Pelodiscus sinensis: one gene and its partner. The protein of the gene in region 1 interacts with the protein of each later gene in a pairwise test. Links are inferred from orthologs where the notes say so. Each region holds a gene or a part of one and is shown on either strand. Other genes may lie near its edges. The genes, in order: FHL5 and CREM.

Evidence for each region.
Region 2: the proteins of FHL5 (region 1) and CREM interact in a two-hybrid assay, tested with the Homo sapiens proteins (2 studies listed by BioGRID). The link is inferred for Pelodiscus sinensis from reciprocal best matches to the Homo sapiens genes FHL5 and CREM.

The regions. Positions count from the first base shown.
Region 1 is NC_134713.1:68,352,815-68,361,244, reverse strand, and holds the start of FHL5 (four and a half LIM domains protein 5), read right to left. Parts: upstream 3,483-8,430; 5' UTR 3,000-3,482; coding exon 2,914-2,999; intron 1-2,913. UniProt on the Homo sapiens protein: May be involved in the regulation of spermatogenesis. Stimulates CREM transcriptional activity in a phosphorylation-independent manner.
Region 2 is NC_134712.1:232,001,353-232,009,902, reverse strand, and holds the start of CREM (cAMP-responsive element modulator), read right to left. Parts: upstream 3,580-8,550; 5' UTR 3,360-3,579; coding exon 3,316-3,359; intron 1,694-3,315; coding exon 1,570-1,693; intron 1-1,569.

The DNA of each region.
Region 1 (8,430 bases):
ATGCCCAGAGGCACATAGGAAGTCTGTGATAGAATATGGCATTGAACCTGTCTCCAAAATCCAAAGCCATGGCCCTACCTTTGCCATGTCCTTTGTCTTAGTTTCATTCTCTGACAGAAAAAAAGGTCATAGGTATTGGGGGTGGGGGAAGAAAGGCACATTGTGCCACTACAGAAGTAGTCATGGAAGAGGGAACAAGATTGAAGGCTAGCACTGAGCCAAGGGAGCTTCCTCAGAAGCAAGGTCCCATACCTGATGGAACGAAGAGATCTTATTAATACTTTGATGAATGTAAAACAAATCAGATTTACCCAAAACAAATTAAAACAGTAAAAATGCAACCATCGGTGATGGTGAAGTACCCTCACGTTGTGAGAGTAAATAAAAAGTTACAAATACCATTTCAGTAGTAACTAGTAAGTTGTGTAAAGGGTTATAACCCCTTGGACAGCACTTATGTATTTCAGAAGCCCTATTAAAATTACCAGTTCTAGAATTTTAGCTGGGATGGTAACTAAGAAGGAACACTGAAATGATGAAGAATCCAACAAGGGAAAACTAAAAATCAGCACAACCTCAAGGGCAGAGGTTTGTGAAGGTGAGAGAGCAAGATGCAAATGGAAGGAAGCTTTTGAAGGAATAATATTAACCATAGTCAAAGAAAAGCTTTAGCTCAAAGAAAAGGAATCTGGAAACAATAAGGAGAATTGACCCACTACTTTTTTGGACCACGCTGTACTATTTCATAGAAGATTATATCCCTGCTATAGAATTCTAATGGATAGTTTATATAAGTATCCATTAAATTCTCTATATTTGTGGAATAACTTATATGCTGCCTTATTAAATTTCTGGTACGCTTTAATTAATGTTACCCCTCTCCAATTCTATACGAGTTTACAAGAAGGTAAAGTTTAAATATGTGGGCTGAGATTTGCAAAAGCCATCTAAACATTTTTGGATGCTTTCCAGTCCCTACTCCTACCCACCTCTCTCCCCTTCCCCTCCCCCCCAAAAAAATCTACTAGAGAAAGACAAGTAGAAAGTATGTTGCAATGCATCATTCCACTGTCTATGAACACAGCATTTGGAGCTTCACAGATCGCTAGACTGGAAGGGCTTTGATTCAGTGGGAGCACTACACAACCTGATCTCTCATCAAACCAGTCGGGAAATTTCTACACAAATTAAGGAGGATACTGTTCCTAAGGTTCTTGGCTCCTAACCAGGTGAAATCTGGCCATATTGAAGTCAAGGAAAGTTTTGCATTGATTTGAACAGATCTAGTATTTTACCCCTGGACTTCAGCTTTCCATTATTAGAAGAATTCTTCTGGAGAGTTTGCACTTTCCCCCTCTTTATATTCAATTAGTCAATGCTATTAGACTTCAACTTTTATGAGAAGTAAAATTCAACCATAAAAGTAAAATACAAAAAATTGAAAACACTGGCTTTATTAGCAAAAGAACAACTGTGATTAAAAGGACAACTAACTATGAACCTTACAATGTCTACCAATTAACCAATAAATAAAATCCTTAAACTTTTCTCCCTGCAAATAACCTTGAGACACCATAGGTCAAAACTGATCAGAGTCTTTTTCAAACAACTCGTTTTTTCATTATTATTTTTTTACTATTACAAGAAGATTGGTATAGCATCTTAAATTTCTGCAAATTATGCAATCTAAAATCAAAGTGCCTTTTGTGACAGTGCAATAAAATTACATGGCAAGACTGTCAGCAATGTGATAACATTAATACATAAATCTGTTCCATTCTGTTCTGTTAAAATACTTCAAGAAATGTCAACTAATCATACATACTGAAGACAAATGTGGGCATAAATGTTAGATGTGAACAAGACAAGCATCACAAAGTTATTTTCTTACTATAAGAGGTTCTATGTCAAGCTTTAGGCATGTAACTAATCTGCTGAAAATAAGAAAAAAGATACAAAATAGTGTATTTCAGAACAGGGATGTGATTACAATTTAAATTGTGTTTATCAAAGTTTGATTTTTGGGACTCATTAGTAAAAGAAAAATTGACTGAATGTACTTCATACATAAAACCAGATAGTACAACAATTAATCTATGTTGTTGACATTCTGTTACAGAAAATTTCAATGTCATTGTCCATAAAGCTTTTTAATGCAAACCGTGTAAATAGACATTTAAGTAGTGCTTTTTTTTTTAACTAAGCACTGGCACATCCTCTTAATATAGTACTTAGTACAGTAAATACAAAATCTGTAGCAGAGATCTTTTAAAAGCTGAGACTCCGACATAATAGTGGAGGAGAAAAAATGAAATAATGTTGATTGAGATTTATATCATGTGTAAACTTAGAAATCCAACAAGTTAATTTTACATTAAATAAGCAACAAGAACAATCCACTGTTTGCAGCAAAAATAACTTTAGGTATCTCATCATAAATGCCTCGTTGAAAGCTTTTGTTCTCAGTGGCAGGTAGGAAGAAAGTAGGCTAGTAGAAGAAAACAGAATTTACAGCATATTGGTTGATTCCTACTTATCTAATTTTTAAAAATTAATACATTGAAAACAGTTCATTGAAATCAGCAACAATCTTGTTTGAATATGTTCACAGAATTCTGTAGGCAATCCAAAGAAGATTCACCAAAGTATATGGCCTCAGCCAGTCTTAATGACAATGTTCTTTTTAGTCTATGTCACAAATTCCATCAATTATATAAACTAATTCTATTAAAACACTACTAGAAACAAACAAACAAAAATCAGAATTAATCAGTGACCGAAAAGAAAAAGTTCTTGCTTAATTCACAAACTTTCAATTGATTACCAGGTCAACTGACCTAAATATTTTAAAACGTATCAACTAAAAGAGCGGAAAGAGAAATAATAAGGAAAAGCAGTTTCTATAATACTCACAACTGGTTCAAGCTGCTTCTTCTTCTGACTTGTGTAGCAAAATAAAGGGGGAAAATAATTAGATTAGCTTTCACAGAAATAAGCATTCATCAAGTCCAAAAGAAACAGAATACTCTGCCAGAGCTATTTGAGGGTCCTATCAAATTTTGGCTGTGTAGAAGACGGCTGAGGGACAGTTTATTTCCCTTAGACCTCATGACATGCAAATAGCTGGTTCCCTTGTCACTGGATTGAAATCATTCTTTGTCATATTGTGTTTACAGATGGTAGACAAAAACAGACCACAGAGGAGATCCTTAAAAGAGCATTTTTCAAGGACAATGTTTCAAAGACCTAGAAAGAGGCGCTTTAGTAAAAAAATCTATAGTGGAAGGCGGGGAAGGGAATGAACATATTAATCTCCAGCTTTTTTGTGCACAGATTCTTTGAAAACATTCAAGATACTCGATAAAACTCAAAATTAACATTAAAACTCCTGCTTACAGTTTTTGGGGTACAGGCAGTCCCCGACTTACGCGGATCTGACTTACGTCGGATCCGCACTTACAAACAGGGCTTTCTCGCCCCGGAGGTCGGGGCGAGAAAGCCCCGTTCGTAAGCTGCTCCGGTGCCCCTGGTCTGCTGGAGACCGTCTCCAGCAGACCAGGGGCACCGGGCGGGTTCCCGCGCTTCTGAGGCTTTGCCAGAGCAAAGCCTCAGAGGCGCGGGGAACCGCCGCTGCTGCCGCTTCAGTCTGGGTGCCTGTGGTCTGCTGGGGACCATCCCCAGCAGACCACAGGCACCCAGACTGAAGCGGCAGCAGCGGCGGTTCCCCGCGCCTCTGAGGCTTTACTCTGGCAAAGCCTCAGAAGCGCGGGACCCCCCCGCGGCTGCGGCTTCAGTCCGGGAGCCTGTGGTCTGCTGGGGACCGTCCCCAGCAGACCACAGGCACCGGGACTGAAGTCGTAGCCGCGGCGGGGTCCCTCGCCTCTGAGGCTTTGCGAGAGCCGCTGCCGCTGCGGCTCTGCTCCCTGTGTCCCTGGTCTGCTGGGGGGGGGGGAGGGGCGCAGCTAGTGTGCTTCCCCCCCCTCCCAGCAGACCAGGCTTTTGTTTTGGACTCTGGGGCAGAGCAGCTGGGGCGCTGCCAATTGGTCCTGCAGCGCCCGCTCTGGGCACTACTGGACCAACCCGGCAGCACCCCAGCTGATCTGCCCCAGGCGTCCCCAAGTCAGCTTCTGCTGAAACTGACCAGCGCTGACTACAGGAAGCCCCAGGCAGAGTTGCTCTGCCCCGGGCTTCCTGGAATCAGCTGCTGATCAGTTTCAGCAGCAGCTGACTTGGGGACGCCTGGGGTTCTTAAGTTGATTCTGTATGCAAGTCAGAACTGGCGGTCAGTTTCAGCAGTGTCTGAATCTGGACGCCAGTTCCGACTTACATACAGATTCTACTTAAGAACAAACCTACAGTCCCTATCTTGTACGTAACCCGGGGACTGCCTGTATTCTGCATAGGTTTTGTGGGTAGGGGTGGAAGGGAGACATTAAAATACCACACCCTTCCAATTTAGGAAAGGGCTATGGGATTTAATATTACATCACAGCTTCCTGCTAGTTATTTATACAGTGGGATGGTTGATGCCTTCAATGCAGTTTTCTGGTGATTAGATTCATATCAGTGGAAAGTGAATGGCTTTTCTCTGGACCTCTCTTAATGCTCATCTCAGGGCTGGCCGCATTAGACTTGGAGCAGAGGTAACCACACCAGTGTTTGGGCTAAGGTTACACTATCCACCACTCCCACTACAGAACAGTTCATTCACTGCACTGTTGTACCAGCCTTCAGTGAATTTTTTATATCCAGTTAAAATTAAGCAGCTGAAATTAAGCAGCTTAAAACAGGATTGTTGGTTGTGGCTTGAGACATTGCAGACCCTAGACCATGCTTTCCACCATTATATTCCCTAGATTACACTATGATGAACCAATTTATCTCTGGGCTTAATCAAGCCTTGCATGTCAAGTGTACAGAAGAGCTGTTTATTATTATGTCATTGCCAAGAAATAGAATTCTGTTTCTCTCTTTCGATAAATCTTACATTGAAAGATTTTGGTAAAATTTGCAAATACCAGGAAATAAAGTTTCTAGGTGGTAGATCTTCAATAGGACCCTGGGCCGTGAGTGACTGTACAAGGCTGTCTACTGACAGGATGCTTGGATGTAACTTGACTCAAAGTAGTGGCCTGGTTAAAGCCCATACCACATGAACTAGCCTTCTTCGTGATAAGCACACCAAATTACACAAATAGTATGTTCTTTTCAGGAAAGAGTATGAAATATATGTTCATTTTCCATTGAACATCGCATTTTCCAAACTTCAATTCATGTTTTTTTTCTTCTCAGAAGAAACTTGCAGAATGGAGACTATACCTGTATAACTTACTAGAGAGTTGTCTTTTTAAGCATTTAAAGCAAAGTGAAAACCTTCACAAATAAGGAGCATGAAGTGAAATTAATTAGTGGATAATGTGAAAACTAAGTGCCCTTTTCTCTAAACCCAAACGAGGTGCTATAACACATAGCCCTTCTTAATAAACTATTTGACCAACCTGGTAACAAAACCACCCTGATTTGACCTAAACTTCCACTTCTACCCTCACTGATATTAGCATGGTATTTGCCATTAACATGAGCCTCTCAAAGAGCTCTTTCCCCTTTATTTTTGTTTAAGATTCACTCAAATGTATCTTTCTAAGCAAGGTTTCTATCTCTGACAATTCAGAAAAATAATTTAAAATCCATTTCACTACTACATTGATCTTCAACCTATTTTAATGTATTCTTATACTTTAAAAAATGAGTAGCTATTTAAAATATCAGAAAGCATTCTGATCCCACAATAAAGCATTTCAATAATCCAGAAGCTTCAGATGATCATTACTTTTATGTTCCAATTATAACCATGCTCTCCATCACAGTAGTAAATGTCTCTCAAAAAGGCTACAAAAGTCTTAAGGTAAAAAACATGAAGCCATTTAAATCATTAATCGAAAGGTATACAGAAAGCTTTAGCAGAAGTTCTAAATATCAGAAACTCAGGACAAGCTCTGTTAGATTACATCAGCAATCTTTGACTGCTCTCATGCAAGTCATTTAATTTTGAGTACAATTACAACAGTTTTTAAATGTCATCACTTCTTGAAGTTTAATCTCAAGAGTTTCTCAGATTAATTACTCCTCTCCCCCGTTTTTCAAGTGTCTTTGGAAGAGACTTCATACAAGAAATTTTATGAAGCATGTATTTTTAGTGAGTGGAACAAGGGGGCAATTTGTCCATGATATTGCTCTTTTTAAAAATGTAATTTAAATTAAGCTACACTGTAAATTTATCTGAAAAAGAAATAGGCAGCTTTGTCAACTAAACAGCTGATAATTAAAATAAGAATCCTAAGAATAGTAATGAATCCTTTCCTTTTTTTTCCAGTCGCTACGTGAATCATATACAGGAAAAAAATCATTAGCACAGTGTTTGGGGGAAAATATTTTATTTATTCCTCTCTCTTGTAATTAAAGACACCTTTATCTAGGAATGTTAACCTCTACACTTGATAGACAGATATTCAATACTTATTTTTTCTGGCATGGAAACACCAATGAAGGTTTCTCATAATTAACCACTGAAAATTCTATGAAGAGACCACTACCGAAACATTAGTACTTCTTTCCTATCCATTTTAAAGAATGTTCTTTTTATTATTCTCATCATGTGGCCTATATTTGTAACAAAAATCTGTTGCATTACATAGAAGACTTGTATTAATTCATTATTATGTATTACAACAGTTTTAAGCAAAAAAGAGGACACAAAATTGGCAAGTATAACAAATTAAATGGAGCACATTAACAACTGTAGTTTGCAAGCAACAAGTGCAAGTCCAATCGACATATCTATGGTTAAGTCAACAGCAGAAACTATTTTAACCACTTAAATCATTAATTTTATTAAAATAATTATATTTACATAAAGAATATCAAATTGTAGAGTATTATTTACAAAATCAATGCCATATAAAAGTGTGTACATTTAATATAGGAAAATTATAACTATTTTCATTCAATAACAAGAGAATAAATATACTTATTTTATGCAAACCATTTTTGTAAACAAAGTGAAAGCAGTCAGAATATTTTCTTTTTTGCTATTTCCAGGTGACAGGCTTATATGGAGGCTTCCAACTAGGATGATGGACAAAACTGTCTCTGCCTCTAAATCCAAAGGGCAGAGATGGAGTTGCTCCTTTGTATTACAGTTTGGACAGAACCAATGCTATTTTGTAGAGATATTATTGACTTTAGTACAGTAATCTAGTAATTTTTTATAAGCGATTCTGTTTTTTTAAACTGCATTCTAAAATAAGCCTAAATGCAGGAACACAAAAGTCTCAAGTCACCTTTCTTTTGTTGCAATCAAAGTTTTGGGGACATTTTTGGTTGATTTCTACCCAATGCACAATTCTGCACACATCTTGCAGGAATTTAACAACCACTGCAACTTAACAGCATTCTTACAGAAGGTTTTGTTCAGTGCTAATAGAGTTTGGGCAAGAATGAAAGAATACTTAGAACTACTGTACTATTATTTTCACTGGATATCAATGTCTATTGCCTTACTATTAAGACCTGATTTTATGCAAGCAGCTAGGTAACAAGTATAATCACTGCATATTCCAGTGATAAGTTGAAACTGATTTGCTAAATTAAAACTGCACTAACTTCAAAACAAATTCAAAAATATACAACTGACATACACAAATTATATACTTAACTAATATTGGCAAGATTTTAGTTGGTATTCTTTACATATATTTTTTCTAAGACACACAATATACCCCATGTACAAATGAGGATACAAATTACAATGGGCATGACAAAAATATAGCTAAATAATATCAAATACCACTTGGAATAGGTTAACATCAGAAAAAAACACTATAGCAGATACTCAAAATGGTTACTATTTTCAGAATATTTTTAAAAAAACATATGGTAAAGTGAACAAAGTTCTGGACCAAACTCCCTCGAATAAAAACAGTATTTGTAATGGATATTGATATACCCCTTGTATCCATATCAGTGGATACGGATATGGATACACCCCTTAAGAAACTTCTCTAGGAGTCACATCTGAAACTGTGTGGTAGCAAATGTTTCCTAAACAATCTAACTTGTACATTAACTACAGAAGTCATTCCCCATTTCTCCTCCTCAAAAAAATCCCTATAAACCCAATACAGATCACGTGCATACCTTAACAGTTTTATTGCAAATCATTAGAAAATGAAATGAAAAATAATAGTGTGCGCAGAATTCACTGGAGTTTGTTGAAAAAAGAAATCCATCCTTAATCACTATTACCTCTCTGGTTAAAAGCTTTACTCTAACCAATCAGATATTTTGACTATGTTATGCGGGTGTGCTTGACCACTTTATATTTTGCCTTTGTATAGCTTGGGAGAGAAGGGGGAGGATACTCTGAAAAAT
Region 2 (8,550 bases), on another chromosome or scaffold:
ACCAGACAGCAAGAAGGAACTGGAGGGAGGAGGCTGCACAAGCACAGTGTCAGTGCACTGAACACACATGACTCGGGTAATGTGCATGCGCAGCCTCAGAACACTCATCTAAAAGACTCAGTATGCAGTAGCATACTGACACCTATTGTGGAGCACCCACAGGGGACATTTCTCAAAGAATGTTCCCCTACCTGTGTTACCATTTCTGATGTCTGATTTGTGTCCATTTATCCTTTCTCTGGTTTAACCAATATACATGACAAAAGAACATTGCTGGCACTTGATGATATATATCACATTAGAGGATGTGCAGTTGAATGAGCCTCTGATGATGTGGCTTATGTGGTTTGATCCTGTGTTGGTCTCGCTTGTGTAGATATGTGGACAGAGTTGACAACGGGATTTATTGCAGGGGTAGGTAATTGGGTGAGTGTATGTGAGGTGTGATGTGTATCTCCCAGAAAAGATTTGCTTCAAATTGAGGAGACTGACTATAGGCAAGGATTAGCCTCTTTCCCAAGGCTTGTGAAGTTGAAGGGCAGTGAAGTATTATAGGTAGTAAAGTATTCAAAGAATTTAGATATAATTATTGGCCAGTATAATATATTGAAATATTAGTAGCATTTTCTTTTTAGTATAGATGAATACATTCTTTAAAATCTTAAGGCTTTATGGAGATCACACAATATAGCAAACTAAGTTTTACATTTTGTCATCTCCATTCTATTAACCAGAAAAATACTTTTCTAGAGAATATCTAAAATTTCTTTTAAAAAATACAGGAAGTGTCATCAAGTCCATAAGGCAGAAACACAAGTAACAACTCTAAGAAGTTTTACCTGCAAGATTGGACTCATTTTGAGTAAACAAGAGTACTGGAGGAGGAGGGGAACAAAATATCTTCATCTATTCATAAGTTGCTGCATTAAGCATCTGCAGTTTTTAGAACACATGAGATTCCTCTAATCTTGTAGATGCCTCAACTTAACAGGACACCATTATCAGACTATTATTATATAGCAGTACTTCGAAGAACATGGAAGAACCATCTACTGGCTAACACTGCAGAACCATCCTGAGAAACTCTTGAAGTGTTACTTCTGAGGATGACTTAAAATAATGTGCTTTAATATCTGTGGCCCATATGCTGTCATGTCCATAACATAGTAGTAATCATTTGGGACTATACCTTTATTGTTTTAAATATGAAATTGCTGCTTTAATAATAAATTCCTGATACAGGACAGGGGGATTTAATTTTGAATTACAGAAAAAGTATCATGTTCATCTAAATCAGGGGTGGGGAACCTAAGGCCCAGAGGATGTATCTGGCCCCTGGGTTACCTAGATCTGGCCCCCAAGGCGTAGGGCCTCCTCCAGCACTGGGGAGCCTGTGCTGGCACTCCAGCCCCCCTGCTGCCTCCCCACAGCCTCTGGGCCCTCAATTGATTTTTCTGTGGGTAGAGGCCCCCAACCCAAAAAGGGTTCCCCACCCCTGATCTAAATGCAAATTACAATTCTAAATGATCATTTTATTTGTTTTTCTCAGCTTCTTGTAAGTCAAATTACCTGAGCTATGGGGGGAATCTGACTTTGGCCTGGTTGATTTTGTATGCAAACAGCATCGCTCTCTGCCACAGAATCTGTTGCACTTCCATCCTGTTGCGATTCAACCATTTCCATGGTCATTTGTCTAAAAATAAATAATATATTGCAAGGAAATGAATTCAGACCTGAAGTAGGAATATTTAAATTTCAACTCTGTTAAATTATTTTTCTCCTCAACTCCCAAATTCACCTCATTTTCCTAGATGAAATTGGTGAAATTGACAAAAGAACAACACAACAGTACCCTAACATCAAAAAATGTTGCTGTGCAAGACTAGTAAATTAGGTATCAAGCTTACTCCTTTGGTTAGTCAGGACTAGATGGAGCATGTGTAGGTAATACTCCCAGCACTGAATAAGGAAAGCAAAACCTCATTCTTTAGCAACCTGATGGCTACGTCTAGACTGGCCACAAATTGCGGAAAAGGGATGCAAATCAGGTAAGTCAGCATAGGGAAATCCGCGGGGGATTTAAATATCCCCCGCGGATTTAAATAAACATGTCCGCCGCTTTTTTTCCGGCTTGGGGAAAAGCCAGAAAAAAAACATCTAGACTGGCACGATCCTCTGGAATAAAGCCCTTTTCCGGAGGATCTCTTATTCCTACTTTCAGGTAGGAATAAGAGATCCTCCGGAAAAGGGCTTTATTCCAGAGGATCGCGCCAGTCTAGACGCTTTTTTTCCGGCTTTTCCCCAAGCCGGAAAAAAAGCGGCGGACATGTTGATTTAAATCCGCAGGGGATATTTAAATCCCCCGCGGATTTCCCTATGCTGACTTACCTGCTTTGCATCCCTTTTCCGTTTTTAGGGGCCAGTGTAGACGTAGCCAACGTTGTGTCTAGCACTGCTGATTCCAGAAAAAAAACCTATTCACCCCTTCCGTATTGGGAGTAGAGGCATGGAAGGAACATTAAATTATCATCCTAAGTTTCCCCTTGTTTTAACTGGGAAAAACAAGGAAACCATTCTGAGGAACCCCAAGGGAGAAATATCTGGCAACTATTCAGAGAATTCTTTAAAGGAGTGGTAGTGCATTGACTCAGTATAGTACAAGTGGAAGTGATAACTTGGTATCTAGGAAGAATTTATTAGAATTTTTCATCTTTTATTTATTCTGTTTAGTTAGACAGTCATGATACTATGTACCCTGAAATGGACAAAATCAGAACCACAAGATTATACCTAACAAGTTAATATTTGTTCTGCATCACTACATCTAGATTGTTCTTGTTTTGTTTTGTTTTGTAATGAAAATATAATTTTCCTTCATTCTTATCTGCATAAATTGCCCACTGGAGAGAGATACCAGAATATGAAATTTAAAATATTGATACATCTGAAGAATGCTGATAGAAGTATGTACATAAATCCTACTGTTCTGTCCCTCTAAATAGAAATATCCTACTTTAGACAAAAAATAATTTTGGTTATATTCTTGTTTCTTTTGTTAGAATAACTCCAAACAGGAAGTTCTCATATTCGGAAGACTGAATAGATTTTGTTTTGAACCAAATGACAGATGTTTAATAATAGATTTTTAAATTGGTATCAGCAACTCTCTTATGATATTTCAAAACCATTTTATATCCTTTAAATCTTAAACCTAAATTTGGGTAAGTTACATCCATCAATTGAAACATATAAACTGAAAGATTATGTTAGGGGAGATTATATTCAAATATATCAGCTACACAAAAGCACAATTACCTTACAGTTGTTTTCCCATTATATTTCTTGACATACTTGCTCATAATGAAAAGTGGAAGTGTTTAAAACAAGAGCTTTGTTTTCCTCAGCTTACTTTCTCTCCTGCTTAACACTGCAGTGAAGTTATGATGTTGAAGTTGTGATGTCATAATCATCACCATAGCAACAAACCAATGTCACAAACTGTATACAGCCTTCACTGCAGGATCTAAGATAAGTGGGACACTAACAGAGAAATCTTGTTTGGCATATGTTAATACCAAATATTATAGAAAATACAGGGAAAACACCAAAGAAAGGAGATTCGTTCTAAATTTTCTGAAAATATAATCTGATCCGATTCCTATTCTTGGGCAGGAACACCCTATTTCAATGGTTTTGAAGCTTCTGAAGTATCCATATCTATTTTTAATACACAAGCCAACTCCTGGTATCTCAGTGCTCTCTGAGACATTGTTTCAAGTGAGAAGCAAATAGCTCCTTAAACACTACACATTTATGTCCAAAATAAGTTGTCAAAATGTTTGTCTTCCACTGAGAAGGAATCAAATGAAAGGATATAATCAGAGAAGCACAATTACAGATAATTTTCACATCTCTAAGGATACCATCTTGAATGGATATACAAAAAAGCCCAGCTTCCTTTCCTCTCAAACTCTTCTGCTGATCTCAAGTTGTAGTACAGGCAGTCCCTGAGTTACACGGATCCGACTTATGTCGGATCCGCAGTTACAAACGGGGTTTTTTTGCCCCAGAGGACGGGAGTGGCGGGACGCCCAGATGAGCCGCGGTCCCGCCGCCCGCGTCCTCCGGGGCGAGAAAAGCTGCTCCCCGTCTCCCTGGTCTGCTGGTCAGACCAGGGAGACGGGGAGCAAAGCCTCGGAGGCCGCCCGTAGCGGGACAGCCGCGGTGCGCCTGGGCTGTCCCGCTGCAGGCGTCTTCCGCAGCTTTGGTCCGCGTCTCCCTGGTCTGCTGGGGGGGGGGGGCGCAGCTGCTCTGCCCCAGGCGTCCCCAAGTCAGCTGCTGCTGAAACTGACCAGCAGCTGACTACAGGAAACCCGAGGCAGAGTTGCTCTGCCTCCGGCTTCCTGGAATCAGCCGCTGATCAGTTTCAGCAGCAGCTGACTTGGGGACGCCTGGGGTTCTTAAGTTGAATCTGTATGTAAGTCAGAACTGGCGTCCAGATTCAGCCGCTGCTGAAAGTGATCAGTTTCAGCAGCAGCTGAATCTGGACACCAGTTCCGACTTACATACAGATTCAACTTAAGAACAAACCTACAGTCCCTATCTTGTACGTAACCTGGGGACTGCCTGTATGTCTCTTAGTAACTAGGTCTTGAGTGACTCACAGCCTTAGTCAAATTGATCAGAGTGCTAGCATTCATACACTTTTAAAGTAAAGCTCCTCTTAAGTTAGCTTGTTCCCAAATGGTGTCAATATACACACCATGAAGAATGTACTAAAGTAGTCTCTCTCATGTAGCTTATTAGAAAAGAATTATTTAGTATATTAACAGCAGTTTTAAATTCAATCCATAATATACAATATTTAATATACACCCCTCTTGCATTCCTGTTTCTTCTCATGAGTTCCTTTCCCCAGATACAATGATAAAATAATTGTGCTGTCAAAATCTCAGGCTATTAGCACTGGTGCTCAATATGTACCAGGATCTTAATCAGAGGAGAGTGCATAACTTTAAATGGGGGCAATTCTGGATTTACTCAGAGGCTATTCTGAAGATCTCCTACTGTATCCAGCCACTCCTCCTTGCAGCACATGTAAGTGAGAAGCATATGTTGCTGAATCACTGTACTTTTTATGAACATACTTGATATAGTAATAGACTATTTCTTGCTAGATGGCTGCCTTTATCCCAAAAATGTCACTATGACCCTAGAGCGGGGATAGGCAACCACGAATAGTGGGGAGGCTGCATGAGTTGCCCTCCTTCACCTCAATGGGCCGTAGCAGCCCTCAGACTACCTATGCCCCACGGCTTCTCTGTCTGCTCTCTTCCCCATGCGTCTCTTGCATATTAGGGCACTAGAGCCCTACTCTTACTTGCTATTTCCCCTCCCAGCATTTCAGAGCATGCAAATTGCCTGGTTCATCCTCAGTCCCCAGGCCTCACCCTCTCACCCAGAGCTGGAATGCCATGACCAATTGATTTGCAGCATTCCAGCTCTGGGGGGGAGGGGGGGAGAGCACGAATCTGGCACTTTGCAGCTCCTCTGAAAGCGCTTAAAGGGAGAGGAAAGATGTAGGAATTGCAAGACTTTGGTGCCCCAGTGTGCAAGAGGCACATGAGGGAGGTGGGTCAGCAAAGGGGTTAGTGAGTTGCAGGTGGAGCCCCGGCAGGCCGCAGGTTGCCCACCACTACCCTTGAGACTCAGTTATGAAGACACTAGCTATTTAATATGTACATCCAAAAGGACATCCCCATATATCAAGACAGCTTAAATAACAAGCTCAATAATGTAATCAGTATGCATTACCAACATAGTCACTAAAACTTTCTTCTGGAATTAAAAAATAGGATCCAGATTATTTTTCCTTATGTGGGTCCAAAATCATACTTCATATTTTATATCCAATATTGTCTGTCATTCTAAGAGAAGATTTAGTTCAAAATTACTAAATTTATCCCATCCTACTAAAAAGGTTCCATTGACTTCTCTTGGCAGGGATGATCTATTATGCTGTGGAAACTGACGTTTCCAATTTTACTACTTTATTGCTTTGGGAATGATTTATTTTAAATCTGGACACATACATCTGTTAGAAATGTAGTACTTTTCTCTTTGGTGAAAAGACAGACTCCATTAGCTGCTACATGTCACTGTGTGTTGTTTTAAGGATCACTGAAACAAAAGCAATGAAGTGTTACAGGAAAATGCCTATCTTCTTTTGTAGTCTTGTTAATACCTTTTATTTCTTAGAAAGAACCTCCTTCTACAAAAAAGCTGTAATTTTTTTTTATGTCCCTATCATCCTCCCTGGTCTTTCAAATCTTTCATATAGCATGGAAAGTTAAACTCGTAATAACCAATTTCCATTCAAAAGTATGCACTGAACTTATGTAAAGAGCGAGGACAACTAAATGATTAAGAAATTATTTCCAGGATATCTGCAGCTTTACAAAATATGACAAAGAACAGTGTATTTTTATTATGCTCTAAATTTTAGGTAAAACTCATGGGAAATTACAATGTAAATCTTAAATGCAGAACACCACTTCCAAGTGTGGGAAGCTATTCAAAGGCATACTCCAGAGATACAGATGAACATACTGAATTTTTTATATTGTCCTTTTAGTGGTATTCCTGAGTTTTGTTAATATCATTCTTCTCCTAACATTACTTGGGACCAAACCATTATTGTTATTATTTTCAAGTGAAAATGAATTGAAATGTCAACAGCATATGAAAACATGCACTTATTGAAACAAAAATGCTAAACTGAGAATAGAAATTGCCTTTTCCAAGTCTGGAGACAGTCAAATGAAACCTAAATATTGGGCCTATAAAAAGCAAATGCTTAAAAAAGGTAAGTAGTCATTTTAGGTGTGCTAGTTCCCTTGGCATAAACTTATACAAGAAGCCTGACTAAAAAAAAGGTGCAGTATAAAGCCGCATAATATAAAGTACAAGACAAATGACCTATTTTGGTTGGCATATCTGAAAATAGCTATAGGTTTTTCCAAAAAACTGTTAATGTTCACAATAGCAAGCACCATGAAACAAACTGTTATTAATTCAGACTAGAGACTACTGAAATGGATGACATTTTCTTCCTATAACTTAAGCGGTTTTGATTAGAGGCAAAACACTGATGTCAATGGAAATGTATTGACAGATCCATTGCTCCTAAATTTCAAAACAAGGATATACATACATGATAAGCTCTTTGGGGCAGGAGCCATCATTTTCTGCACTTGTGTAGCACAAAGAACACGGGGGTTCTAGTGCAGTGGATTTTCAGACCTCACAGCACCACAACCTCCTTCTGACAACAAAGATGACATGACCTAGGGAGGGGGAACTGAAGACACAGTCCGCCTGAACCCCAGCTACAGTGGGGCAGCAGGGCCAAAGCTGAAGTCCAAGGGTATTTGCCCTGAGTGGGGATCATGTAATCTTAACCCAAGGTAGTAAGGATTCACCCCCGTGGAATGTGGCTTGGGCTTCAGACTTACTGGGACTCCCAGTCAACAACAACTTTGGCAACACCATTAAAATGGAATAGTTCAAGCACCTCTTTTTCTAGTCCATGGCTAGGGCTCCTAGGTGCTATGGTAATAAAAATAAAACATCTTACACCCCATATTTCATCCAAAGAGATTTGTAAGGAAGCCTTATATGATCCATGAATAATTAAATTTAAGTTTCAGCTTCGTATATACAGCAATGATCGTAGCTCTTTTTAATGACAGAGATCGTGTTATGTTGAAAAATCAGGAATAGTTTGTTCGTTTGTTTGTAGGAAGACTTGAGCTTTCAAATCATTGTAATTTTATAAGCCTTATGTATGGATTTAATCCTAAACTGAAACATTGCACAAAGCTTTATTTTATTTTAAGCTAATTTAATTACAAATTAGCTACACATCATGCGAGTTACTTTGACATTAAATATTAATAGGGTTAATTTTTTTCAACAGGGTTGGTTACTATTTTTCAACACTTATGTAGAAATACACTGATACTAATTAGATGGGATTTTTATCTTAAAATGAACATATAATTACATGGCTGCACCTCTCTCAATTATGATTGAAAAATATATTGTCATTTATAGTAAGATAAATTTATGTGTTTTTTCCCCCCTGGAGGTCGTGAGGAAAAAATCATGGGGCTGGCAGGAAGTATATAGACCTCATGAGTGTCCCTCATTCACCTAAGAGGGCCACAACAACTCCCAGCCCAGTGGGGTTCCACTTGCTGCTCCTTCTCTGTGCCCCTCCCCACACACTTCTCACGTACTGGGCACCCCCACAGCACTTTTGGAGCATGTGAATCATCTCATTCATGCTCCATCCCCCCTCCTCTCTTTTCCTCCCAGAACAGGTGGAATGCAACAAATCAGGTGTTTGCAGTTGTTCGAGCTCCAAAAGTGCTGGGAAGGAGAGAGAGGCATAGGAAATACAGGGCTCTAGTGTCCCAGTGAACAAGCAGTGGCTGGGGGAGTGCGGCAGCCAGGGCAGCTGCAGACCAGACAGAAGTGGCCTGCAGT